7 linked regions of the Rattus norvegicus genome follow. The protein of the gene in region 5 purifies or fractionates together with the protein of the main gene of each other region. This does not show direct contact. Links are inferred from orthologs where the notes say so. Each region holds a gene or a part of one and is shown on either strand. Other genes may lie near its edges. The genes, in order: Paf1, Ddx21, Fkbp5, Cdc37, Cdk9, Ddx5 and Hsp90ab1.

Region 1 (3,079 bases), on a different chromosome or scaffold from region 5:
TAGTCTTGTCTTGTTCACTTCCCATCAGGGTTACTGACTCTGCCTGGCACTGGAAGGTGATGAGGGATATCCTCCCCAAGAGGGAGGTGAGAGCTTCCCACCCACCTGACAGCAGAGTGCAGGACGCAGGCGGCCCTACTCTGACAGGCAGGACCCTGACCCTCCCACCCTCCATCCCCCTCTGTGGTTTCACCCTACCCTGCCCACTTCTGTCCCCAGCCCCACTGGCAGAATCAGCTTTGAGTAACTGTACATTTTTCTCGCTGTTGGAGAAGACTTATTTGTTGGAGTTTCAATTGTTAATGGTCTGGGCTTATTTTGGAAAACAAAAAAACAAAAACAAAAAACAAAAAAGACTCTAATTTCTCATTTATGATGCACTTCCTGGGAAATCCAATGGGGACTTGATTTTGTGCTTCAAGTGGAGAACCTTGAGCACTGGGGTGGGGGTGGGGGTGCGAAGATGACATGAAGGGGAACAGAAGCTCTGGGAGATGAAGTCCAGAGAAGTTAGATTTATTAACAGCAAAGATTGAAGGGTAGGGACAAAGGGCTCACAAAACAGACAACTAGAAAAGTGCTTCCCTGCCCTAAGAATGGTGTCTGTGCTGACCTCATTAGAAGGTCTTGAGGCTCAGTCACTGTCACTGTCAGCCTCACTGGAATCAGAAGCTGCAGCTTCACTGCCATCTTCCTGAGCTGAGTGTTCACTACCACTGGGGAAGGGGCTGGCACTCCGGCTACGACTCCTGCTCTGGCTGCGGCTCCGCTGGCCACCACCATCACTGCCACTGTCCGAGTCATTATCACTGCCCCTGTGGGCCTGCCCTCTGTCTTCATCATCAGAGTCAGCATCATCTTCTGAATCAGCATCACTACCGAAAATCTCCTCTTTGTCCCGGGCAGCACGTGCTTCGTCCTCGCTGCTCTCATCCTCACCGCTGCCACTCTTGTCACTTGCCTCATCCCTGTCACCCTCCTCTCGATCACTCTCACTGCCAGAGCGCTCATCCTCGCTGCCTTCCTTTTCGCTGCTGCTGCCCTTCTCATGTTCCTCATCTGTGAGGAAGTAGGCACTGGTGAGATTCCATTGCCCACCCTCCCAGGGCTCCCAGGATGTGACCAGTCCTTTACCTGAGCCTCCAGCTTCTTTCTCTTCAGCCTCCATCTCCTCCTCCTCCTCTTCCTCTGGTTCGTGGTTTTCCAACTGGGCCTTGCGTGCCTCCTGGAGTCAGCAAATTGGGAAGAAGATGGAAGACTTCTAACCCTGTCCTCACTCACTACACTCCCTTTGGGTATTCTGGGACAGTAGAACTTACCTGGGCTTCTAATTCCTTCTCATTCATGTCACGGTGTTTGACCACAAGCAAGGCATTGGTACCCGACTGAACCCCAGCCTTGGCCCGGCGCTTACTGAGACGGACCCTGCAGTGGACAATTGCAGAAGGGGAGTTAGGCTCCACTGGGACCAGTCTAACTTGACACCTAGTTCCCTATCAATAATCTGACCCACAGCATACCAGAAAACAAAGTATACATACAGTGAACGTGAAAGATGGTATTACGGGTTTGATTTACCCAACTTTTAAGTTTTTTGGATTTTTCTTGTTTCAAGATTTTAAGTGAATGGGTGTTTTGCATGTTGTATGTATAGTACCCCAAGAAGCCACAAGAGGGCATCAGATTCTTTGGGCAAAACTGTCTAAGTGGGAACTGGGATACGAACTGGGGTCTTCTAGAAGAGTAGCCAGGGTTGGGGATTTAGCTCAGTGGTAGAGCGCTTGGCCCTGGGTTCGGTCCCCAGCTCCGAAAAACAGAAAAGAAAAAAAGAAAAACAAACATCCTAGAAGAGTAGCCAGTAGTTATTTGGGTTTCTGGCTTTTAAATAGAAAAGCATTGGATTGCAGCTGAATTGTAGTACTCACTAACGGTGTTGTCACTGTCTGTTTTCACATCTCCAGCCATATTGAACAGAAACTCAAACCACAGGCCCTAGGACAAGTTAGCTTTCAGCCCTCAAAAGAAAGGTTCTGAGGTAACACTCTTGAAGTTTTTGTCAACTATTTAAAACCTGAAGGCCTGGAGGAGATGGTTCAGTTGGTAAAGTGCCATGGGGGAACAGGAAAGAGTAACTTCACCCAAGTTATCCTCTAACCTCCTCATGCATGCACACAAAATAAGAGCAACAAAGGAAAGCTGATTCAATCTCTGGCTCCAGTATGTACACACATGAACAGAAAAATGACTAGGTTTACATCCTACATTGTGTGAAAATTTTCTTTGTGGTTTATAGTACTAGGAACAGAGAGCCAAGTCCAGCCTACATTTTTTTTTTTTTTTTTTTTTTGTTCTTTTTTCCGGAGCTGGGGACCGAACCCAGGGCCTTGCGCTTCCTAGGTAAGCGCTCTACCACTGAGCTAAATCCCCAGCCCCCCAGCCTACATTAATAAGCAGGGTCCTGCTGCTCTCTCAGATACATAAAACAAATATTTAGGTACAAATGACTTCAGAGTAGTTCATTCATGGTCTCAAAAAACAAAAACAAACAAAAAAACCCACAACAGTGCTGAGTACCTGGTCTCTAGCTCATTGTAGTAGACACCATCACCCTCTCTGAAGATGAAGAAGTAGTTTTCCTCGTAGCCCTTACTGGCCTTGTTCTTCACATTCCAGTTATATTCTCGAGCAATCTTGTAGTCATACCTGGGAAGAAGGTACACAGTCAGCCCATTGGTTATAGAGGAGTAAAGGAAACATACTTCTGAATTCTAAAGCCTCACTAACCCTAACCCTAACCCACTTACACATCATCTGGTGCATAGTCCATCTCTTCCTCTTGGTCCCGCTTTCGTTTTTTTAGTGTCTCTTCCACAGGCAGAAAATAAGCCACAAACTGGTTCCCTTCCTCATCCATCATGCCCCTGGTTTGGGGGAAAAGAGAGTAAAGGTCAAAAGCAAAGTAACAAAGCTGGGTGTGGTGACACATGCCTGTACATTCAACATTCCAGAGATTGAGGCAAGAGGAATGCAAGGAGCCTAGAGGTCAGCCTGGGCAACGGAACCATAACCTATGTCAAAA
Region 2 (3,500 bases), on a different chromosome or scaffold from region 5:
ATTCAGGTGTCTAGAGGTGTTGCCCGAGTAGGTCACAGGCTTGAGGACGTCCATTGTAAGCAATCACACCAGGGTGATGCCCCAAGAACTCCGCCATACAGGTTGAGGACTAGGAAACTGCACTGAGAGTCTGAGCTCAGGCTTAAAGAACAGTGGAGTGGAAGACTCTGTAAGCAGCTGTGGTCGTTTGAATATGATTGCTCCATGGGAAGTGGCACTATTAGGAGGGATGGCCATGTTGGACAAAGTGTCTTTGAGGTCTCCAAATGCTCAAGCTCCTCCCAGTGCAGAAGAAAAACTCTCCTCCTGGCTGCCTTTGGATCAAGATTTAGAACTCTCGGCTCCTCCAGCACCAAGTCTGCCCCCACACTGCACAGTTCCCACCATGAAGATAATGGACTGTAAGCAGCCCCAATTAAATGTTCACCTTTATATAAAAGTTGCATTGGTCACGGTGTCTTTTCACGGCAATGAAAGCCTATGACAGTAACCAAGGTCAGCTTCCACTGGGAATAAGGTACAGAGTGTTCGGTATCCTGCCCTACAGGGTGCTACAGGGTGGCTGATACAAGTTTACCCTCAGCTTTTGGAAGATGGTTCATGGTTTCCCTGATCAGGCATTACCCACCCCGCAAACACCTTTACCTAATACTAGGCTCTGGGATTTTTTCCATGTGCATCCATGTGTACATGTATGTCTGTGTGACCATATCTCCAATAATACTTATCTGACCTTTTTATTCTCATTTTCCCATAAAGTTAGCGATACCTTAACATTTTGGGTGCTAAGTAACTTTAAGTTTCCGGGCGGGAGAGATGGCTCGAAGGTTAAGAACACTGACTGCTGTTCCAGAGGTCCTGAGTTCAATTCCCAGCAACCACATGCTGGCTCACAACCATCTGTAATGATATCTGATGCCCTCTTCTGGGGTGTCTGAAAACAGCTACAGTGTACTCATAGATAATAAATAAATATCTTTTAAAAAAAAGTAGCCTTCAAACTTCAAAAGTAGTTTCAAACTTGAACTCAAAATCTCGAAGTGACGTAAGCTACTTTATGGTGATGGCAGGGAAGCAGCTGGGTGCTGGGGTCAGGCACTGTGTGCAGCTTAGGCTGGGGACAGCACTGAGGATGACTGTGAAGAGGAAGGAGATGCATCACCCCACCAAGCAGGGAGAGGACACACCCCGGTCATCCGGCTAACCTCCGGGGTAAGATGAGGGTCCTGGAGGCTGGCACTCACCAGTTTTCCTTTGAGGAAGACCATCCCCTTCACTTTGGCATCGATGCTCTCACCCAGCTGCTCCTTAAGTTCTTTCCAGGCATAACTAATGTTGGGCATCTCAACAGAACACCGCAGGATCATGGTCACAAAGCCCTTAGGGGAGAAAGGCGCAGAAACTTGGAAACCAATCGGCACCATAAGCTCTGCTCTGGGTGGGGAGGGAAGGCTTTCCAGAGAATCTCTCCCGGAGAGCTCACCTCCCAGCCATAGTGCTGGGGCAGTCCTAGAAGACTGTTGGGAGTACCAATGTCAGCACCCAGTCCTTAGCTTTCTAAAGGATCTGCACTGGAGGGGACTGGTTGAGCACAGGGAAGTGATCGCCATTGTACTTCTTATGCCACGTGGGGCTACAATCAATAGGCACATGGAATTCAATGTGTCAAAGGAACTCACCACTGCAGCCTTCAAGTCAGTGCATTTTAACTCAGTTTTATCACTTGTTTTCTTTGTTTGTTTGAGACAGGCTTTCTCTGTGTAGCCCTGCCTGTTCCACTAGGCTGGCCTCGAACTCACAGAAATCCATAATCTCCAGCCTCCTGAGTGCTGGGATTATAGGCGGGCACAACCTCACTCAGCTATAATTTTAGCATACTTTAATTCTCTTATTTGTCTGTGTAGAGGCCAGGGATCAGGTTCAGAAATCTGTTCTCGGGCTGGAGAGATGGCTCATTCCTGCTGAGTTTCACTGACCCTTCATTTAAAAATAAAAAAAAAAAAAAATTGAAGTAAACTATTACCCATAGTAGTTAGTGTTGTTTCTCCTTCCAATCTACCCCTGGGAAACACTCATCTATTCTGCCCCATTGACTTTGGTTTTAATTAGGAAAATGGCGAAACACAGCCAGTGCCTTCCTACCTAAAGAAGGGGGAAGTCAATCAGGAAGTTCAAATGAACTCTTCTAGTTTGCTTAATCCGCCTTATAAAGTGCCCAAACCTTACCGCTTGTGAGTTGATTAGGGAGCGCTGGTCCACCGATGTGGCCCCCGAGATGTGGGCCAGAGCTGCGGCCAGGGCCTCTACAGCTCCCTTCTCCTCGATCAGCTTCTCAGCCGACTGCTTGAAATGGCCAATAGCAGTGGGAGGCACAGAATCCAAGAGCCTGTGTGTGAGAGGGAACTTTTCAGAGGCTAAGACGAAGAACACCTCAGTAACAGAAGAAATGAGCTTAGGAATGGGCATCAGCACGCTAGGGTGTGGCCACACCAGCACGAAGAGGTCCCGGGTTCAATTCCTAGCACTTCATAAGCTAGAGGCGATGCCACATTCCCAGCACTGAGGAGGTGGAGGCAGGAGGGCCTGAAGTTCAAGGCCTTCTACTAGCATGAGTTCCAGTACTCTCGGGATACAGGACACGATCGCTCCATAGTGCCTTCATTGTGCCCTGTGGGATAAGACTTTAACACATCTGCCTGGAACCTGCCACGCAGAGCAGGATGGTCTCTAACTCATGGCTATCCTCCTGCTGGGATTCCAGACACGTGTCACCATGCCCGGCCCACATTTGGCCTTTAAATGAGAGAATATAAAGTATTTAACTCAAAGAAAACAGTGATCACTAGTAAGACTGTGCTACTTTTAGAAGCAGACAAAAGCACAGCCAGTTTCACATTTTCCCAAAGTGCTCCACATGAGGTCTCAGAACACTGTACTTGCTGGAGGCTGGCCATGGTCTCAGCCACAACAAATCAGCATGTCGCTTTGCCAAGTCAGGTGAGCTGTACTGGCAACGGGCTGACATTCCACATGATATCTCTTCCCACTACTGGAATGGGCCTCTCCTTCCTGGTCACCAAGCCCATATTTCCTGAACTAGTTAATTAGTTCTTCACAGTACCCCATCTCAGGGCTCTTATGGAAAATGTGCTACGATAAAATCAACTTAAAAATACGGTTTGGGAAGGCTCTCAAGCTCTCCTAGCACTTCCTTTGCCTGTGGACCCCCTTGCTACTTATTACCCATTCGAACTATGTGCTTCAGTAGAAACCAACTTCCTACCAAATCCAGGGTCATCATGGTTATCAGCCACCATGTGGCTGCTGGGAATTGAACTCAGGACCTCTGGAAGAGCAGCCAGTGCCCTTAACCTGACCCATCTCCCCAGTCCCGTATTAACTCCTCATAAGCACTAAAACAAGACACACTGAAGGTTCAAGAAGCAGCACCAACACAGACCTTGGTGGTGGTAAAGACCGTACCTGATTGCGTCTTTGCT
Region 3 (4,131 bases), on a different chromosome or scaffold from region 5:
AGGAACTAACGACACAATACACATTCTTTTCCAGCCCAAGAATAAAGAAAATCTTCAAAAGTAACTGGGGCTGGAGAGATGGCTCAGCGGTAAGAGCACCCGACTGCTCTTCCAGAGGTCATGAGTTCAATTCCCAGCAACCACATGGTGGCTCACAACCATCTGTAAAGAGATCTGATACCCTCTTCTGGTGTATCTGAAGACAGCTACAGTGTATTTATATATAATAAATAAATAAATCTTTAAAAACAAAAAAAAAAAGTAACTGACTTGCCCAATCCCGAACCCTAGGCTTTTCATGTTGAGGTGGTTTAAACTGTCTTTAAAAAGAAATGCTGGCTGGTGATACTGCTCAGCGGAGGAAAGAGCCTACAAACCAAACCACCGGAACTGGAAGTCCAGGACCCACACACGGCAAGAGGAAAACTCCAAAGCTGTTCTCTGACAACCACACCTGTGCCAAGTTCTCTCACAAACACTGACCGAAAGATAAAATCTAAAAAGTGACTAGAGAAACATCCTTTTGTTAAATGTTGGAATGACAAAAGCCCCACTAATGAATCTATTGTGTTAAAACAATTTGCAGAAAATATTCCTGGATTAACTTAAAATTACCTCAAGTGGCTGGGCAGTGGTGGTGAACACCTTTAGTCCCAGCTCTGGGAGGTAGAGGCAGGGGGAATCTCTGAGATGAAGGACAGCCTGGTCTCCCGAGTGAGTTCCAGGACAGCCAGTGCTACACAGAGAAAGCCTGTCTCAAAAAACGAAGCAAAATTAAAAAATAATAATAATAATCTCAAGTGGTCCCAACTAATAGCTAACTCAAATTAGCTAGATGAATAAAATGATTGTTCAATTAATTAGTGTAATTAAATAAAAATTAACTGTGCTCTGAAGTTCAACATCTCTGAAGTATAGATTATATCCAAGGCAGTTACCACACATGACACATCAGAAGACAAAGGGGAGAACACTAATTGGAGTGTTTCTAACAAACAATATTACTATTAACCTTTGTACTTAAAAACAGCTAAAGCACCCCATTTCTGTAGAACCCCCCAAAGTGAAAGCTGTTAAAAAAGAGTGTTAGGTTACAGAACTTTATGTATGTTTTAATGGAATAGTAAACTCCCAGTAACAAAGGAATAAAACTTTGATATTTCAAATACCAAACAAAACAAAAAATACCGCGCACGCGTACACACACAAACACACACACACACACACACACACACACACACACACACACACAAAGCATGTTGGGCAAATGAGGAACAGGTTGGAGAGTAACAGAAAACAGTTAAGTGAAAGTATTACAGGGTAAGAATGTCCCACCAGAATAAGATTTTTCTCCCCCAAGTCATTTCTTGAATTGATTCAGACACCACGAGGAAAAGCTACAATTTTGTAACAACAACACATAAAGCTAACAGCAAGAAGTGGGAAGGAAGAGGCAAAACACTTAACCCAAGCACACCTTAACCCTTCCCTTGTTCACAACCCTGTGAAAATAGAGACAATGGAAACAGACACTCTCTCCCACCCCTAGAGAAAGCAAAGAAAGCGCCCATTCGACGCCCAGCCCTAGTTCTCTGGAATACACACTCCTGAAAGGGAAAAAAAAAAAAATCCCCAAACCACCAGCTCCCAACTGCCGCATGCAGAATTTACTGAATGGCGGCCAAGCGCTGTACACACTGTCCCGAGCCCCGCCGAGGGCTGTCCCAAGTTCTGCACGCTCTGCTTACGATCTGTACCTTCTTCCAACGCGTTCGCCACGGTTGCAGACACCAATGATTTAAAAAACGAGGCGCAAGCGCCCCACCTGGCTCATCCACAGGCGAAGATGAGGAGGAGGAAGATGATCACAATGCATTGGGCTCCCTTAGATTCATCCCTCCAACACACACAAAATGCTGCGTTTGGAGTCATGCACTATGGCCGGAACAGGAGTGGTGATAATCGCTGGGCCGAAGGGAATGAAGACTCCTAAAATAACTTTTATTTCCTTAGTATTATTGAGAGGGGGTGGGGTGGTGAGAGATGAGCGTGTGCATCAGAGTCAGAGGTGTGTGTTTGTGTTGTGTACACGTGGAGGTCAGAGGACAACTCGCGGGAGTCGGTTCGCCTTACCCACCATGTCAGTTCCGGGGATCGAACCCATGTCGTGTCACGCTTGGCTGCAAGCGCCGGTACCCGCTCAGCCACCTCAGAGGCCCGAACAGCAACTTTTAATTGGCCCTTCCTCCTCCGGACCTCCGAGGCCCTCGGGTCACCTGCCTGCCTGGTGCGAGCCGGCTCGGGAGCGGCAGGTGAGGGCGGTGCCCGGCCGGCACGCCCATCGCGCGGCCCCGCGGACGCGGCGAGGCGCTCCGTTATCCGCGAGGCTCGCAGGGCTCCGGAAGGCCAAGTTTCCTCCGCGTCCGGAGGGCGGCGTGGCGGAGCGACACGGGGCTCCCCGGACCTGTGGGCTGCGCGGGAAACAAAAGCCGCGCGCGGGCGAGAGAGCCGGCGCCGCGCTGAGGGGGACGCTGGTGAGGGGCGCCGGCCGCTCCGCCACCCACGCGGGGCCCAGGCCTCCCGCACGCCCCGTCCACGCCACCCCAGGGAAGCCGCGCTAGGGGCGGCAGAAGCGGGACCGCGAGCACGGGGCCGGCTCCCGGGTCCGCCGCGCGCGCGCGCGCACCATCCCCGCGGCCAATGGCGCCCGTACCTGTCGCCGCCGCCGCCGCCGCCACTGCGTCCCTCGCTTCGCGTCTCTCCGCCGCGCGCGCCGCTCAGCCCGCCCAGCAGGCCGCCGCTCCGTCCGCACGCTCGCTCGCTCGCTCAGCCGCGCGCCGGACACCGCCGCCGGAGACTGGCAGCGCCCGCAAGCCGGCTAGTGCGCCGGGCAGCGCCCGCCGTCGTCCCGCCCCCGCCGGCCGCAGGACCCGCCTCCCATAGGGCCGCGGGGCTGTCAATCCGCCCCCAAAAGGCGCGCGGGCTACCGCTCCGCCGGTCCTGATTGGTGGCCGCGCACTGTCTATGCAAATGAGCCTCCGCCCCGTTCGTTTGCATCCCCGCCTCTTCACCGCGGCCCACGTGTCTGGCCCTTGCCCTTTGTGGGGGCCGGAGAGGAGGGATGGAGGAAGCTGACTGATACCTCTTCTCGTTTGCCTCCAGACAGAATACGGACCAGACAAGCGCCTACCTCGTCCGTCTGTCTACCCAGCCCGTCCTTCACGAGGCCGCAGAGGTCAGGCCATGCTGACCCCGGGAAAATAACCTCATGAACTTAAAGATGCTCCTTTAGAGACTGGGAAGAATCCGATCTAGCACCTCTCTCTGGACACCCAGTGGGCGTGAAGACCACGCTTTCCCTTGGGATCTCTGCCTCTGCAACACAGCAGGTAATGAGGTCAGAAAAGAACCCAAAGGATGGGCTGTTGAGCCAAGTTCAGCTTCAAGATGGCACCCCTTCCCCCACCAACTCGCCACCTCTGGGTGACTCCTCAGACGCTCAGATGCTGCACCTTGGGACTTCAGCTCTAACTGTTGGTTTCTTAAAAGATTTTTAGAAGAACGTTTGTGATGAGTGTTTTGCCTAAGGAGGGTGTGTCTGTGTGTGTGTGTGTGTGTGTGTGTGTGTGTGTGTGTGTGTGTGTGTGTGTATCCTGTGAGTGCAGTGCCCAGAAGAGGGCGTCGGATCCCCTGTCACTGGAGTTGTAAGCATCCTGTGCTCTCCCAGAGGCTGGGAAAGCAACCAGCAAGTGCCAGTGCTCATAACAGCTAGGGATCTCTCCAGACACACACACACACACACACACACTCTCTCTCTCTCTCTCTCTCTCTCTCTCTCTCTCTCTCTCTCTCTGGGAGTAAAAGTCCCAATTGCCTATGAAATGTCTTGTAGCCATGTGAGAATCCATGTTTCCTGGTTCCACGTCTGCTTTTTGTTTTAGTTTTGGTTTAATTTGTATTGTCACACTTTAGAACTCAGGAAGATAAATGCCCCCGTGTATGGTGATATATATCAAATGTCTAAATGTCACCATGTGGGTGATCATATGGTCCTTCTTTCCCTATCCTCCAAGACGACTGTGGAAAAGACAAAACTGGTGTAAAGACCCCTGTCTAAGACAGGGGTCCTCC
Region 4 (3,970 bases), on a different chromosome or scaffold from region 5:
AAACTGGAAGGAATAGGTGTGTAGGTGGGACTAGAGCTGACTGCTGGATTTGGGGAGGATAGGGAAGGACTTTCGAGGAGTAAAGAGGAGAAGCTTTCCTCAGGAAGGTGGAATGCTAACTGCAGAGTACCTGCCAGCAGCCTGGGAGTGTAACAAGCACAGGGCTGATGAGAGAGCTCAGTGGGTGAAGGCCTGCTACCAACCCTGACGGCCTGAGTTTGATCCCGAGCCCACGTGGGTGGAGAGAACGGATTCCAGCAAGTTATCCTCTGACTGTGACAGGGTAGCGTGGCACATTTACACATACATGAGCATGAACATACACAAATACAATGTAACCTAGACAGAGTAAAGACACACAGGTATGTGGGTACAGATGCTTTAATTTGGGGGGCAGGTTAGGCCACTGTCTCTTTACTGCTGTGCTAGAGATGGAACCCAGGACCTCCTGCATGCTAGAGAGTGCTCTACCACTCAACTACATCTTCAGACCACCCTTACATCTAGGTAGTACACTATGGGCCTGCAGGCAATGCTGGCACAAGAGAGGCGGAAGAGCATGGCTTGCTCACACTTGGGGATCTGACGGTCTCAGTCTAAGGCATCTGTTATGGGCAGATTTAAAACTGTGTAGGACTTTATTTTATCTGCCTAGTGATCGACAGGATTCCCTGAGCCCGTGCCAGCCTCATACTTACTATGTGGCTGATGACTTTGAACTTCTGAGCCTCCTGCTTCTATCTTCTCAGTGCTGAGACTACGGGCCTGCCCCACCATGGCTAGCTTTTAAGCCAGATGGAGCCCAAGGCAATGCTTACAACTGAATTCCAGCCCATTTGGTTTTTGAGACAGGGTCTCACGTAGTCCAGGATAGCCTAGAATTTGCCCTATAGCAAGGATTAACTCTGAATTCCAGATCCTTCTACCTCCACCTCCTAAGACCTGAGTTTACAGGTGTGCTACAATGCTCAGAAAGTAAGGTAATGTTGGAACAAGATCCAGGAGGTGCAGAGTTAAATAGAATGATATGAACCCTCGAGAGGCCAATGAAACTGGAGAGGAAGGGCAGGTAGGACAGGAAGGGTTTGGTTTTCTGGGTTGGGATTGGGTGAGCTGTCTTTTCCTTCTCCTTTCCCCCTTTTCTCCCCTCCCCCACTTTCTTTCTCTGTCCTATCCTGCCACTGGACTCCATGCCTCCAAACAGAGTACCCCTATTTAGCTGTGCTGGAACTCTCTGTAGACCAGGCTGGCCTTGAATTCACAGGCCCGCCTGCCTCTGCTTCCTGAGAGCTGGGATTAAAAGTATGTGTCATCACCATCCGGTTTGGTGAGTATTCAATGATGGCTACAAATCATACAGGAGCCAATGTGGGCAGAATGGGGGTCTACTTACTATACTACTAGGAGCAGAGGTTCTGACCGGAAGTTAAGTGGGTGGGGTTTCCTGGAGTAAGGGGAAATAAGAATCTACAGGAGGTGAAAATAAGGAAAGCCACTAGAATTGGATGATGGGCAAGAGTGGAGCTGGGGGTCAAATAGAGAGGCTAAGGGGGCTCTAACACTGAAGTCCCAAGTGTAGCTCTGGTCTATAACCCAGGGAAATCGATCCTGGACTGGGAATCCCAGCTGCAAACTAAGATTGACCATTAAATTAAGAGCAGGGCACAGCCCTCATTTAGTTTGGAAGTTAGGGGGTTGGGGGTTCGGGGGGTTGTCTCTGGGCCTTAATGGAAATTCGTGCCTAAGATCCTGGGAAGTAGATGCCACAATCAGAACGAAGTTTTATGGATCCAGACTCTAGGGGGTGGGGAGAGGCAGAACGGAGATGTGCAATCAGAAGTGGGTGCATGGCTGGGATATGAGATCACCTAACAAAACCTGGGTCCAGACTCTGAGGAAGAATTCTGAGAACAAAAGGTTCCACAAAGGATGATGGGGACCCTACACACATGGGTCAGCTTCGGAGGTGGGGTGGGGTCTAGACTCTGACTAAAGAGTATTAAGAGCTGATAAAATGACTCAGTGTACAGGTGCTTGTGGCAACTCGGGGTGACCTGAGTTCCACACCCAGTTCCAACGAAGTGAAAAGAGAGGCCCAACTTCTGCAAGTTATCCTGTAATCTTCCTTTGCATGCTGTGCCACGTGCACACAAGAACACACACACAATAAGTAAACGTACAAACAGAAGAGATCCACAGCACAGAGAGAAAGCCCGGAGATACAGATGAAGAATTAGAATGAAGAATCCAGGAGTCCTGGGATTAAAAGGTCCAGCCCAGCATGATGGCACATGTCTTTAACCTCAGCACTGGGAAGGCAGAGGCAAGAGGATCTCCGTGAGTTAGAAACCAGCCTCTTCTATATAGCAAGTTCCAGGCCAGGCAAGACTACCCAGTGAGATTTTGTTTTTAAAAAAAGAAGAAAGAAAAGAAAGGGGGAAAGTCTAGATTGTGGAACAGGAGGCTCTGGATGTCAAGAACTGAGGTCTCCCCCGCCCCCCACGCCAGGCGGCCTGGCTAAGAGGTCAGAACTCTAGAGCGGGGGGTCCCGGGAGTGGGGGGAAGGGGATGAGCGCGCACAGCCCCACCTGGTGCCGCCAGCGGAACAGGCTGGCCGTGTCTATGTTGGGGTGCGTCTCGTCCTCATCGTCCGACACCTCGATGTGATCCCAAACGCTGTAGTCCACCATCTTCGCCTCGGAGGCCCGGACTGGCTCCCGGGTCTCCACACGGCCGGGCGCTGAACAGGGACCCACAAGGGCTAGAGAGTCCGCTCGCCCCGCCCCGCCCCTTCCGCTTCCGCCCAGGGCGCCGCGCACGACGGCCCCGCCCCAGCGTCGGCGCATGACGTTCGTCCTTAGCAACGGGAGTCGGCGGCATTGGCAACCGGAGGTCATCTTTAAAGGGCCAGGAGTACGTGGTGCGGCCTTCTGGAAGTTCCCGCCGAAACCAGACTGAACATCCTTTAGAGACAAAAGGTTAGTCTTGTTGGGCGTGGTGGCCCACGGTAATCCAAGTATGCTAGGGGCGAAAACAGGTGGCTCTCTACAAGTTCTAGTCCAGCCAGGGTACATATTGAGACTGTCAAAAAGTCAAAATTGGCTGGGCAGTGGGGACGCAATCTGGCGGATCCAGGCCAGCCTGGTCTACAGAGTGATTTCTAGGACCGTAAGGGTTGTTACACAAACAAACATTCTAAAAAAAAAATAAGTCAAAATTGAGCCTGGAGAAATGGCTCAATGGTTTGGAGAACTGGCTGGTCCTCCCTCACCTACATGGCGGCTCGTACCTATCTGGTAAGTCCATCTCAGGGTATATTGCGCCCCCTTCTGGCCTTCACCCACACCGAGCATGCATGTGGTACACAGATATACTTGCAGGCAAAATATTAATACGCATAGTTTTTTTTAATGATGTTTGCCCTTAAATAGTTTTTTTCCCCAGACAGGGTCTCACTGTATAGCTCCGGCTGTCCTGGAATTCACTATGTAGACCAGGCTGTCTTCAAATGAACAGATCTTTCTACTTCTGCTTCCCAATGCTGGGGTTAAAGGTGTGCACCACTACACCAGACCTGCCCTTAATTTTTTTTTAAAGATTTATTTATTTATATAAGTACACTGTAGCTGCCTTCAGACACACCAGAAGAGGGCATCAGATCCCATTCCAGATGGTTGTGAGCCACCATGTGGTTGCTGGGATTTGAACTCAGGACCTCTGGAAGAGCTGTCGGTGCTCTTAACCACTGAGCCATCTCTCCAGCCCTGCCCTTAATTTTTAAAAAAATATTTATTTGTTTGTTTGTTTGTTTGTTTTGAGACAGAGTTACTCTATGTAGCCTTGACTTTCCTCAAACTCACTCTATAGAGGAGAATAGCCTTGAACTCAGAGCTGTGACTGCCTCATTCTCCGAAGATTAAGTGCTGGGACTAAAGGCATACAGCAGGACCACCTGGCTAGCTAAATAAAT
Region 5 (3,935 bases):
CAAAATCTGCCAGCTTTAGGACCCCATCTCGGGTAATGAGCACGTTGGCAGCCTTCATGTCCCTGTGCAGGATCTGCAGGGAGGACGCATGAGAGCTCGGTCAGGTCTCATAGTATCCCAGAGACCCACCCACAAGGCAGTGAAGAGCAAAGAAGCCCCAGTCTGTCCCGGCCCCAGGCCTCACCTTGTTCCTGTGGATGTAGTAGAGGCCATTCAGCAGCATCTGCATTACTCTCTTGATCTCAGACAACGTGAACTTCACTAAGACATTGCTCAGCAGCCCAGCGAGGTCATGCTCACAGAAGTCGAACACCAGATAGATGCTGCCTTTGCAGCGGTTATAGGGTGAAGCTGGTGCAGAATAGGGAGAGAGGGTGGGAGGGAAAATAAAAAACCTGCACCCACCTCATTTTCCACAGCCAACTCCCAGCCCTCCAATCCACAAACACCCAACTCCATCGGAGAAAGCCCGGAGAAGCTGGTGGTCAGTCACTGGTGGTGCATGCCTTTAGCCCTAGCACTAGGGAGGCAGAGGCAGTGTGAGGCTAGCCTGGTCTATGGAGCAAGGTCAAGGACAGCCAGGGCTACACAGGGCAACCCTGTCTCAAAACAAAACAGATCGGGAAGCTGTGTGATCAAGTCAAGTCAGGAGGAGGCATTAAGCACATTTACCTCAGGAGTGCAAGCAAAGGTTTAAGGTTCATTTTATCCCGAGAACGAGCATCGTACCTTTGGTTCGACAAATCTCAATCAGGTTGACCACATTCTCGTGCTTTAGGAGCTGTAGAATCTTGATTTCCCGCAAGGCTGTGATGGGGAACTAGGGAGGAGAAAGAGAGGAAGTGGTCAAAATTGAGAGCAACAGACCCATGAAGTAAAAGTGTGTGTGTGTGTGTGTGTGTGTGTGTGTGTGTGTGTGTGTGTGATCTATACTGAGGGACAGAGGTTGAAAGGCAGGTAAGAGTATAGTTTTTGTGTGACAGACGGTTCCTGTCTGGAATCCAATCCTACTATCAGGAGTCAAATAGAGAGTAGAACTGTCCCAAGTTCAAGGCCAGTCTGGTTAGTTGAGCTCTTGCTTGAGGGGAAAATAAATATATTTATCTGCAACCAGTCTCTGTAAAGCAGAAGGTAAGTGAAAGGACACACACATCTCACTCAAGGAGCTGCTAGATTTTGCCATCTAGACAATGGCGGCTTTGGACTTGTGAACCATCCTTTTTCTTTGGCCTCGTAAATGCTGGAACTACAATCATAGCCCTCTACGCTGGGCCAGGAATTTATTTTAGACAACTCAAATAGGGACAAAATCTTTGGCACTAATGCTTGTGGGTTAAAATCAAGAAATTCCCTGGGTCCAGAGATAGATGAATAGTTAAGCAAACCAGTCCTGGCTAAGAGTGGCAGCCCAAGCCTTTATTCCCAGCACTCCGGGCACAGGCAGTTGACCCTCTGCGAGTCTGAGAACAGCTGGGATACTGAGAGATTTTTGTATTAAACAAGTCTTATGTTGAGTCCCTATTTCAGGGAGACATACACATATGCATGCACACACACATACAACACTGGCTGTTCTTCCGGAGGACCTAGGTTCAATCCCAGCCTCTACATGGTGGATCTTTTTAATTCTAGTCCCAAGTGATCCAAGGCAGCCTAGCATGGTCTCCTCAGGTGCCCAGGTACCAGACAGGCATGCTGTACACAGCCACACCAGAAAACAAGACACGCATAGACAGGAAATAGTCAAACAGCTTTTTCCTTACAAAGAAAACGCTGTACTAAAGCTAAGACGGGGACATCATGCTTCAAAACACGCCTTAAGCTAAGCTGCCTTTTAAATTGCCTGTGCACAAATTGTCCCTTCGTACAAAACAAAATTCGACGCTAAGCTGGAAGTTTTCAAAAACCCCACTTCTAGAGGCAACGTGCACTTTCACGCAAAGCACAGGCTCCCTCACTTGCCTCCCACCGAACTTTGCCACAAAAACTCAAAAGTCTAAGTGGAAAGCCAAATGTCTTGTCACACGGAAAATCGAAAAATACTTGGGTGGAATCTCAGCACAAAACCCTTTTAAGTAGCAGTGTGGAAACCGAGCACAGGTTAGAAGAACTGCCCAGTGGTCCATATACTCACCCCCTCCTTCTCATTCTCCATCAACACTTTCTTCAGAGCCACCTTCTGGCCGGTCTGACGGTGCTTGGCTTTAAATACTTCCCTGCAACACAAAGACCCGAGGGACCCATCAGGCATTTCCGCAGGGACCGCCCCTCCCCCACGCGAAGAGGAGCAGCGGGAGACCAGACACACGGTGGGGTGCGGCCCGGGACTCCTGTAAGCTGTTATTCCACACCACGTGTTTTCTGTCCTTCTCCCAGCCCCTGCTCTTACTCCTACTCGGCTCCCACTCCTCCCCCCAGAGGTGTCCGCTCACAAACTGAGTTCCTCTCAGCAACCCTACCCAACCCCCATCACGGGCCTCAGGCTCCTCCCTGCCAGTCCGCTCGGTTAGGCCGGGAGCGTCTGCGGCGCGGCCTAGCAAGACCAGGCAACAATCAAGGAAATAGAAGCTTCCGTACCACCTCGGGCCCCGGCCCTGAACGACCCGATATAGGCCATGGAAAGTGCAGGTCCTGGGCTACCGGTCCCACGCGGCCTAATCTTACCCGAATGTGCCTTGGCCGATCTTGGCAAGTTTCTCGTACTTGGTGACCTCATCGCAAAACGGGCATTCCACTGAGTCGTACTGCTTGGCCATGGCCGCCTCCAGCGCGCCGCCGCCGCCGCCGCCGCCGCCGCCGCCCCCAGCCGCAGCTCCCGCCGCTCCCGGTCCCGCCACACTCCAGGCCCCTCCGCGGCCGCGCCACTTCCGCCTCCAAGGCCACTTCCGGCCTCGAGGTGCCGAGCCCGCCTCTTCCGGTCTCCGCCCGCCGCCAGGCCCCCTGGGACTTGTAGTTCCCGGGAGGCCAGGGGGAGCCGGAGCTGCAGAGGAGCCTCCGCCGCCGCCACTGCCCCCGCCTGCGCCGCCGCCGCTAGTGCTGTTGGCGGCCCCGATCGGGGGCGCAGGGAGCCGTGGCGCTGGGGCTGGGGCTCGTGGCGGTGCGTCCCGCTGCATTGGCCCGGGCCGTGCTGCTGCCGAAGCTGCTGCCGCTCTGGCTCCCGATCCGGGGCCAGCCGCAGTGCCCTGCTCCTCCTCCTCCGACGGCGCCGCCTCCGCCGGGCTGCGCGGGGCGACGGGTGGGGGTGTGGGGAAGGCCTGGGGGCGGGGGCTCCCTGGCCAAACCCGGCCCGGGGCGGCCAGGAAAGGGGGCGAGATAGCAAGAGCAGACGAGGAGGCGGCCCGAGAGCCCGGGAGGGGGCGCGTTATAAAGGGGGAGGTCCCCGTCCTGGCCTCCCCTCCCCCTCCCGCCCCCTCCCTCCTCCTCCCACCCTCCGCGGCCGCACCTGCCGCCGCCGCCTCCCGCCCTCCCGCTCCCAGTCCAGCGTCCGCCCTCGGCGCGTCACTGCTAGCAGCCCCTCCTCTGCGTTTGGAGGTGGGGCTCCGCACTAGACACCTGCCTGCGGCGCCCTGCTGCGTGCCTCAGTTTACCCCCCTAATGCCAGCTGCCACAGAAGGGCCCTTCTTCCAGGGCTGGGAGTGTGCTCCCAGTGAGGCGAAGGCAGGAGGTGCCGAGGGAGCGGCCTGAGGCCCGGGGAAGAGAGAACTGCCCCCGCTGCCGCCTCCGCCGTCTCAGCCACCCGCCGTTGACATGGCAACTGACGGCCGCCAGGGGGCGCGGCGACGCTCAGGCCTAAACCCTGGATCCTGTGTGGTCAGGAAGGCAAGGATGGATCTACTGCCTTCCTTCACAGAGCTGCGGCTAAGCTGGTCTGTCCTGCGTCAATCATCCCAAAAATGGTTAAAATTGAACAGGCACTCCTGCGCGTTTTTGAAATG
Region 6 (2,518 bases), on a different chromosome or scaffold from region 5:
TAAGCACTCTGGCAAGTCTGCTAGGACTAGAAATACAAGGTAACCTGCACTAAGGACACAGTGCACAGCTCTTGGGCTAACAGTCTTTCAGCTTTGTGCATTTTGGCAGTTGACAATAAAGCCAAGAGATGGAATAAATTTGATAAAGCAAAATGTCCACTTAAAACTTCTGCAAGAGTCACCATGTTACTTATATACAGTTCCTGTCCTGTAGCTCACTCTTAAGGAAAATAGGCTATTAAACGACTTACTTCCCTGATACTGAAAACTACTGACAAAGCTTCTTATGCAATTAATCTAGAATTATAAAATCCATTGTTTCTAAATTCTTCCCATACAAAGGGCCTTCTGAGTTCCTCTCCTAAACCAAGGAATGGGAAGTAGTCAACTTTAGTTGTGTAAAAATAAACACCAAAACAAAAATCCCCCCAAAAACATACTATCTAAGCCAAGTTTTACATGACATTATATATGTAAAATAAAGTACAATTTCCACTTAATTCAGTCTTCAAATATCTTTTATTGGAAGGCCATGCATTGCCTTCATTTATTGTATTTGAAATCACTGTACAGTTACTTTTGTGAAAACACTGCCTGCATTTTCTAGTACAAAAAAAACCTAAAAATTGTTTCAGGAATGTAGAGAAATATCCAACTTAAATAGCGAAAAAAGTGCACCATAATTACTGCTGCACTGCAGTCATTTCTGCATTTCCCATGTTTCTTAAATAACTATCTTGTCTGATAACACACAATATAAAGAGCAATTATGAAAAACAGACATTTACATATACTTCTAAAGTCTTATTGAGAATACCCTGTTGGCATTGGATAGCCAATCATAGGCGCAGCAGCTGCGGTAGCAGGATATGCATATGCCTGTTGGTTCATCCCATTGTGCATATTTGCAACATTACTTCCATATTGCTGAGTGCTATCATAACCGTTCTGGTAAGTCCCTGTTGGGTTACCAGTCCTAAAACTGGTCTGTATGCCAGCAGATACAAAATTACTTCCAAAGCTCCCATTGGTGTAATTTGCAGCACTGTAAACACCATTCTGAGTTTTAGCCCCAAAATCTCTCTTAAGCAGACTAGAGTAGCCTCTGTCATAGTTTTCCCTGTCTCTAAAGGTATTAAATCCACCCCTTTTCCCTGCAGAGTATCTGTCACGACGATCATCCTTCATGCCTCCTCTACCCCTGGAACGACCTGTCAAGAAAATAAGTAGAAATTGATCACCTTACCCATGGCATAGTGTGAGATAGCTCTATTTATGCTGGGTCTTAAGATTTCTTAGTTTCAAAATAAAAACTAACTCAGTCCTTAAATCCCACTCCGTAGACGTAGACAAGAGGTGACTGTCAACAATCCCGTAACATCTCTCATGGAAGATTCTTACCTGAACCTCTGTCTTCGACCAACTGAAGCAACTTGGGATTAATTGCTTGATTGGCTTCCCGAAGCACAGAGATGAGGTCGCTCACTTGCTTTATGTTATTGGGAGTAAAGAAAGTGTATGCTGTGCCTGTTTTGGTACTGCGAGCAGTTCTTCCAATTCGATGAATATAATCCTCTGAGGAGTTAGGGTAGTCATAATTGATGACAAATTTCACATCTTCCACATCTGTAAGGTGTTGCAGTGTGGCAAAATAGCAATGTACGGAGTTTTGCACACCACAACAGCCAGACCAAAAATAAAAAGTTAGACAATTGTATTCCCAAGAAGGTACGGGCTGAAAAAAATACAGTTAAAATGGTTATCCATTTCCTGTAGGAACACCATTGAGGTAGAAAAAGGGCAGGGTAGGAAAAACAAAAAAAAAAAACAAGAAAAAAAAAAAAAGCACATGTCAGCTGTCTTAACACCCACCCACTGACAGCCTATCAAGGGAATGTGTGTTCTCCTTAGCACATTCCCAAATTGACAGTCCCCTTACAGATCATCAAGTGACATCTGAATGCTTCTGCGCAGTAGGGCCAATTAAAAGTTTCACAGCAATCTCTTCGTGTGCTCATTTTGAGGACCTTTAAACAAAAAGGTGAAGGTCCTTTGCTTTACACTCAATTCTGGCCACACTGCTTGTCTTGCCAAGACCTTACAACTGCAGCTGCAAGAAAAACATACCTGTCCCCCAAAAGTTGTTTTAATGCACTGTGTCTCGTCTAGGCAAGCGCTTCCAAGAAGCCAGGATTCACTTGAGAATGTGTCTCTCTCTGGCAGGTCTCGACATGACGACTACTGTGTAGGTGAGGGAGGAACTTTCAAGGCACTTTCTTTTCCCACTGACTATGTGTGAGAAGTTGGTCCTGCTCTAGGTCTCATGTGCCAGTACTCACCAATTTGTAAAAGGCTTAGTACCTTTTAAAGCTGCTCTCTCCATTTCATACTTGAACAAAAATTTCATTGAACATTGAAGTTTGGAAATATTTCTTCGACATTTCAGCAAACTCACTGAAACTCAAAGACCCACAGATCACAGTGAACAGTTTGAAACAATGCTGTACCATGGCAATCA
Region 7 (4,091 bases), on a different chromosome or scaffold from region 5:
TTTCTGGTCCAGATGGGCTTCGTCTTATTCAGCTCTTCCTGGTCAATGTACTTCTCCTTGATCTTCTTTGTTTTCTTTTTCTTATCTTTGCCGCTGTCATCCTCCTCATCAGATCCCACATCCTCAATCTTAGGCTTCTCCTCATCCTCCTTATCTTCCTCCTCCTTCTCCCCTTTCTCTTCCTCTGCCTCATCATCACTGATCTCCTTCTCGCGTTCCTTCTCCAGATAGAGGGTGATGGGGTAGCCTATGAACTGTGAGTGTTTCTTCACCACCTCCTTGACCCTCCTCTCCTCTAAGTACTCTGTCTGGTCTTCTTTGAGGTGAAGGATCACTTTGGTACCCCGGCCAATGGGCTCACCTACAGAGAGTGAACCAGACATGAAAAACTGCAACTAAAATACTCAACAAACAGGTACACCTCTTTTTTGTTCCTGGTTTCTCAAGCGATCTGTTTCTGCACAGCCCTGGCTTGCCTCAACTCACCCACCACCCGTGTATGCCATGTCCCAAGTGCTGCCATTCACCCCTCAAAAATGTACTTTTATAGAGTACAGTAACTATTAAGGCTGCTTCTTTCTGGCTTTCCCCCAGAGAATTCTACCAACCCAACGTAGACTGCCATCTCACCGTGGTCTGCACGGACAGTGAAGGATCCACCAGCAGAAGACTCCCAGGCATACTGCTCATCATCGTTGTGCTTCGTGATCACAACCACTTTCTCTGCCACCAGGTAGGCAGAGTAGAAGCCGACACCAAACTGCCCAATCATGGAGATGTCTGCACCAGCCTGCAAAGGGTTGTAAGAGAGTGAGCAAAACTGTTCTTGTACAAGCACAACCGCTTGCTGAGCAAGTGTAGTAATCAGTTCAACTTCCAGAATCTAGGCCACAAGTACTTATTAGAAAGACAGACCACACATCCTAGTCTGACAAGTTTTAAATTAGCAAGCCAGAAGCAGTAACAAATTGAGAATGGCATGGGTGGAAGGCCACACACGCACCTGGAGAGCCTCCATGAACGCCTTTGTACCAGACTTAGCAATGGTTCCCAAGTTATTTATGAGGTCAGCCTTGGTCATGCCAATGCCTGTGTCCACCAAAGTCAGCGTGCGTTCCTGAGGGTTGGGGATGATGTCAATCTTCAGCTCTTTCCCGCTGTCCAACTTGGAAGGGTCAGTCAGGCTCTCATACCGAATCTTGTCCAGGGCCTGTAATGTACACGTACACAGCCACTTATTCCATTTATCCAAACAGTTCCTTCTCATCAACTGCTGGATTACTCTAATCACTCCCTGCTTCTCTCTCTCTCTCTCTCTCTCTCACACTCACTCACTCACTCACACTCTTCTGTGGCGTCTTAGAAATTCAACAGAACACTCACATCAGAAGCATTAGAGATCAACTCCCGGAGGAAAATCTCTTTGTTTGAGTAGAAAGTGTTGATGATGAGGGACATCAGCTGGGCAATTTCTGCCTGAAAGGCGAAGGTCTCCACCTCTTCCTCTCCATGGTGCACTTCCTCAGGCATCTAAGAATGAAAGTCTTATTAAAAGTTCAGTTCAAACTTCTTTAATCTGGGTAGTACCCATTCCCAAGACTAGAACCGCCATTTGTTTAAAAAAAGAAAGAAATAAAAGAAAGACCTTAAAGCTACAGTGGCAAGACAAATCAAGAATGGAAAAAAACCCAAAGGATGGCTCTTCAAACTAATGTCCAAATGTCAGACTTTTTGAACGGCATATTAAGAGTTCAGCTCCCTGACTCAGAACAGAACACCTGCCGATATAGTAAAAATCCAGACTGAGTTAACTATACAATAAGATCCCCAATTTCTTCTTCATTCTTCACTGGGGTTAAGTATCAACTTTAACAGAAAGAGCAGCCTCCCGTAAACGGATTTGTGCTCTTCCCCTCGGCAGGGCAAGAAAACCCGAAGCTATAGTTCTGGAAGGACTCAAAGGGCAATTAAATCAGGACAAAGAGGTAAAAAGCTCCACCATGAACGCTGAACTGTGCAGACTTGCATAGGCCCAAACACAAGTAAAATGGTGGCCCAGCCGTCCGGCGACCCGGACATGCGTCGCCAGGAGACTCACGGGGAGGGGGCGCCACTGTAGCCCTCCCACCGCCCCAGCATCCGGGCACTGGGGCGGGGCGCCCGAGGCTTCCAGAACAATCTGAGCTCCCGGGAGGGGAGGAGTAAGGGAGGGACCTAAGAATCTCCCCGTACCTGCTCCCTCCCCGTTTCTCCTCCCACTCCACGGGGAGGGCAGCAGAAAGATCTGGAAAGGGACAAACGCAGTGGGTTCAAGCGTTCCTGCCAACCCTTGTACCCCTCCCCAGAACAAAACACGTTGGGAAACGCGTCCGGGGGAGGTAGCCAGGCCAACCTCGTCTTGCTGAGTCATGCACATAGCAGCCCGCCACCGCGCGGACCCTATGGACCCTGCAGCCGCGCCCGGAAGTGGAGGGCAAACATGGCAGCGTCCCGGGTCGGCGGCTACCACGTGCGGCCGCCCACCACCTGGCCCGGCCGCACCCCCACCTCACGCTCTGGGGAATCCACCGGCCCCGGGGGAGCCTCGCGGTGCAAGCCCGCCGGGGTCCACCATGAGCCACTGGAGACATTCTAGGCACATTATCCCCGCAGACCGCCCAGCCCAACAAGGAGCCTTTAGTTCAGATGAGATGTTGGCGGAGACCCCAGGAAGAAGACCCACGGAGCCGCCAAGTACAGGAGAGCGCGGCCTTACCTTGACGAGAAAGCCGAGTAGTAGTACAGAGCAGGGTGGGCCCGGACCACGTCCGACTCGCACGGCAAGCCTAGGCTGCGCGGGGGTGACTCAAGAGAGCTCCCAAACGCCCCCGACCGCCCTATATAAGGCGAAGCACAGCCCTAGCCCCGCCCTTGGATCCCTCCGCCTTAAAGGAGTGGCTGCCAGCCACGCACCTGCCACCGCCCGCCCACCTTGACGTCATGCTCGCAGACCGGGGAGGGGGCGGGGAAGAGCGGGACCCCGGGCCTGGGCTGCGAGTCAAGGCCAATTCAATAGCGTTTGGTACCCTCATTTCTGCATGAGTAGGACATGTAGCCCTCAAGATGGCCAGGGAGCATGCATATGCTATTAGGGGATGTATCTGCGGCGAATACCCCACGGACTCGCGCAGAAAATTCGATGTAGGCGCTCCCACCCTCAAGAGTCCAGTCCTCAAGGGACTTCTGAAAGAGAACGGAGGTGACCAATTCGGCTGCCATTTTCAGACCCGATCTTACTAGAATGTTCCCTACAAATCGCACATCGAGAGAAAAGGATGATAAGAAATTCGTTGTCCAACTTTAAGGAGTCCCTGATCCCCACCCTCCCCGGTACAGCGAAGCGGCAGGCGGGGAGCAGCTTCTCCGAGGGGAGGGGCGCGGGCCTGGGCTAGCAGGGACTCTTTGGCGGCCTGTGGCGGAAGGAGCAGCAGTGGCGGTGCTTCGATTTCTTCCAGCAGTTTCTAGGCCTGTCTCGGCGGTCTCAACCCCTCCCCCCGAGGCTCCACCTCCCCTGCTGCGGCGGGGGCTGTGTCTTCATCGCCTTTCGGCTGGTTCTTTTTCTCTGCCACGATCTTAACCTGGGGAAATATTTTCCCCAAGTCTCTGTACCATGGGCTACGTTTGTACGACTCGTGGCCCTGGAAGGCCCACATTACTGTGGAGGTGTGGAGCGCAGAGGGGGGAGGGATGGCTGACCTGGATCGGTCACAGGGCACGGGGGCTGTGGGGGTGAGTGACTGCGGACACCTTTCTGTGAACAGAGACGGGAAACCGAACGCTACTGGGTAGAACACTCCCCAACCCTCAGCCTCCCGGGTCGCCCACGTACAAGGCGCGCGGGGACATGTGCCTTCCCTTTGCGAGCACAAGCTGTTTCTCAAGCTGGTTTCGCTTTTCTAGCTAGCCCTCTTCCCTACTGCAGCTCTTTGAACCTAGAGAGGAGGAGGTCACGGTCTTTGCAGATTAACGAGAGCTCTAAGGTATCCGCATGAAGATGCTGGTCACAGGTTGGCCGGGTTCCAGGAGCCAGAACCAAGTTGCACCAGTGTTTT

Evidence for each region.
Region 1: the proteins of Cdk9 (region 5) and Paf1 purify together in Homo sapiens (affinity purification with western blotting; 3 studies listed by BioGRID and IntAct, with this or other methods). This does not show direct contact. The link is inferred for Rattus norvegicus from reciprocal best matches to the Homo sapiens genes CDK9 and PAF1.
Region 2: the proteins of Cdk9 (region 5) and Ddx21 purify together in Homo sapiens (affinity purification with mass spectrometry; 3 studies listed by BioGRID and IntAct, with this or other methods). This does not show direct contact. The link is inferred for Rattus norvegicus from reciprocal best matches to the Homo sapiens genes CDK9 and DDX21.
Region 3: the proteins of Cdk9 (region 5) and Fkbp5 purify together in Homo sapiens (affinity purification with mass spectrometry; 10 studies listed by BioGRID and IntAct, counting the BioPlex papers as one, with this or other methods). This does not show direct contact. The link is inferred for Rattus norvegicus from reciprocal best matches to the Homo sapiens genes CDK9 and FKBP5.
Region 4: the proteins of Cdk9 (region 5) and Cdc37 purify together in Homo sapiens (affinity purification with mass spectrometry; 9 studies listed by BioGRID and IntAct, counting the BioPlex papers as one, with this or other methods). This does not show direct contact. The link is inferred for Rattus norvegicus from reciprocal best matches to the Homo sapiens genes CDK9 and CDC37.
Region 6: the proteins of Cdk9 (region 5) and Ddx5 purify together in Homo sapiens (affinity purification with western blotting; 3 studies listed by BioGRID, with this or other methods). This does not show direct contact. The link is inferred for Rattus norvegicus from reciprocal best matches to the Homo sapiens genes CDK9 and DDX5.
Region 7: the proteins of Cdk9 (region 5) and Hsp90ab1 purify together in Homo sapiens (affinity purification with mass spectrometry; 6 studies listed by BioGRID and IntAct, counting the BioPlex papers as one, with this or other methods). This does not show direct contact. The link is inferred for Rattus norvegicus from reciprocal best matches to the Homo sapiens genes CDK9 and HSP90AB1.

What each region holds. Positions count from the first base shown.
Region 1 is NC_086019.1:92,814,197-92,817,275, reverse strand, and holds the end of Paf1 (RNA polymerase II-associated factor 1 homolog), read right to left. Parts: intron 2,922-3,079; coding exon 2,805-2,921; intron 2,704-2,804; coding exon 2,575-2,703; intron 1,426-2,574; coding exon 1,320-1,425; intron 1,226-1,319; coding exon 1,135-1,225; coding exon of another isoform or gene 1,060-1,134; coding exon 635-1,059; 3' UTR 501-634; downstream 1-500. UniProt on the Homo sapiens protein: Component of the PAF1 complex (PAF1C) which has multiple functions during transcription by RNA polymerase II and is implicated in regulation of development and maintenance of embryonic stem cell pluripotency.
Region 2 is NC_086038.1:31,080,239-31,083,738, forward strand, and holds part of Ddx21 (nucleolar RNA helicase 2), read right to left. Parts: coding exon 3,484-3,500; intron 2,387-3,483; coding exon 2,227-2,386; intron 1,380-2,226; coding exon 1,245-1,379; intron 1-1,244.
Region 3 is NC_086038.1:6,540,756-6,544,886, forward strand, and holds the start of Fkbp5 (peptidyl-prolyl cis-trans isomerase FKBP5), read right to left. Parts: upstream 2,801-4,131; 5' UTR 2,714-2,800; intron 2,663-2,713; exon of another isoform or gene 2,165-2,662; coding exon of another isoform or gene 2,138-2,164; intron 1-2,137. UniProt on the Homo sapiens protein: Immunophilin protein with PPIase and co-chaperone activities. Component of unligated steroid receptors heterocomplexes through interaction with heat-shock protein 90 (HSP90).
Region 4 is NC_086026.1:27,964,131-27,968,100, forward strand, and holds the start of Cdc37 (hsp90 co-chaperone Cdc37), read right to left. Parts: upstream 2,801-3,970; 5' UTR 2,691-2,800; coding exon 2,589-2,690; intron 1-2,588. UniProt on the Homo sapiens protein: Co-chaperone that binds to numerous kinases and promotes their interaction with the Hsp90 complex, resulting in stabilization and promotion of their activity. Inhibits HSP90AA1 ATPase activity.
Region 5 is NC_086021.1:36,396,217-36,400,151, forward strand, and holds the start of Cdk9 (cyclin-dependent kinase 9), read right to left. Parts: upstream 2,801-3,935; 5' UTR 2,757-2,800; coding exon 2,665-2,756; intron 2,217-2,664; coding exon 2,135-2,216; intron 821-2,134; coding exon 730-820; intron 352-729; coding exon 185-351; intron 74-184; coding exon 1-73. UniProt on the Homo sapiens protein: Protein kinase involved in the regulation of transcription.
Region 6 is NC_086028.1:92,223,893-92,226,410, forward strand, and holds the end of Ddx5 (probable ATP-dependent RNA helicase DDX5), read right to left. Parts: intron 1,693-2,518; exon of another isoform or gene 1,627-1,692; coding exon 1,402-1,626; intron 1,212-1,401; coding exon 805-1,211; 3' UTR 501-804; downstream 1-500. UniProt on the Homo sapiens protein: Involved in the alternative regulation of pre-mRNA splicing; its RNA helicase activity is necessary for increasing tau exon 10 inclusion and occurs in a RBM4-dependent manner. Binds to the tau pre-mRNA in the stem-loop region downstream of exon 10.
Region 7 is NC_086027.1:22,929,132-22,933,222, reverse strand, and holds the start of Hsp90ab1 (heat shock protein HSP 90-beta), read right to left. Parts: upstream 2,801-4,091; 5' UTR 2,756-2,800; intron 1,531-2,755; coding exon 1,384-1,530; intron 1,211-1,383; coding exon 1,004-1,210; intron 791-1,003; coding exon 631-790; intron 362-630; coding exon 1-361. UniProt on the Homo sapiens protein: Molecular chaperone that promotes the maturation, structural maintenance and proper regulation of specific target proteins involved for instance in cell cycle control and signal transduction. Undergoes a functional cycle linked to its ATPase activity.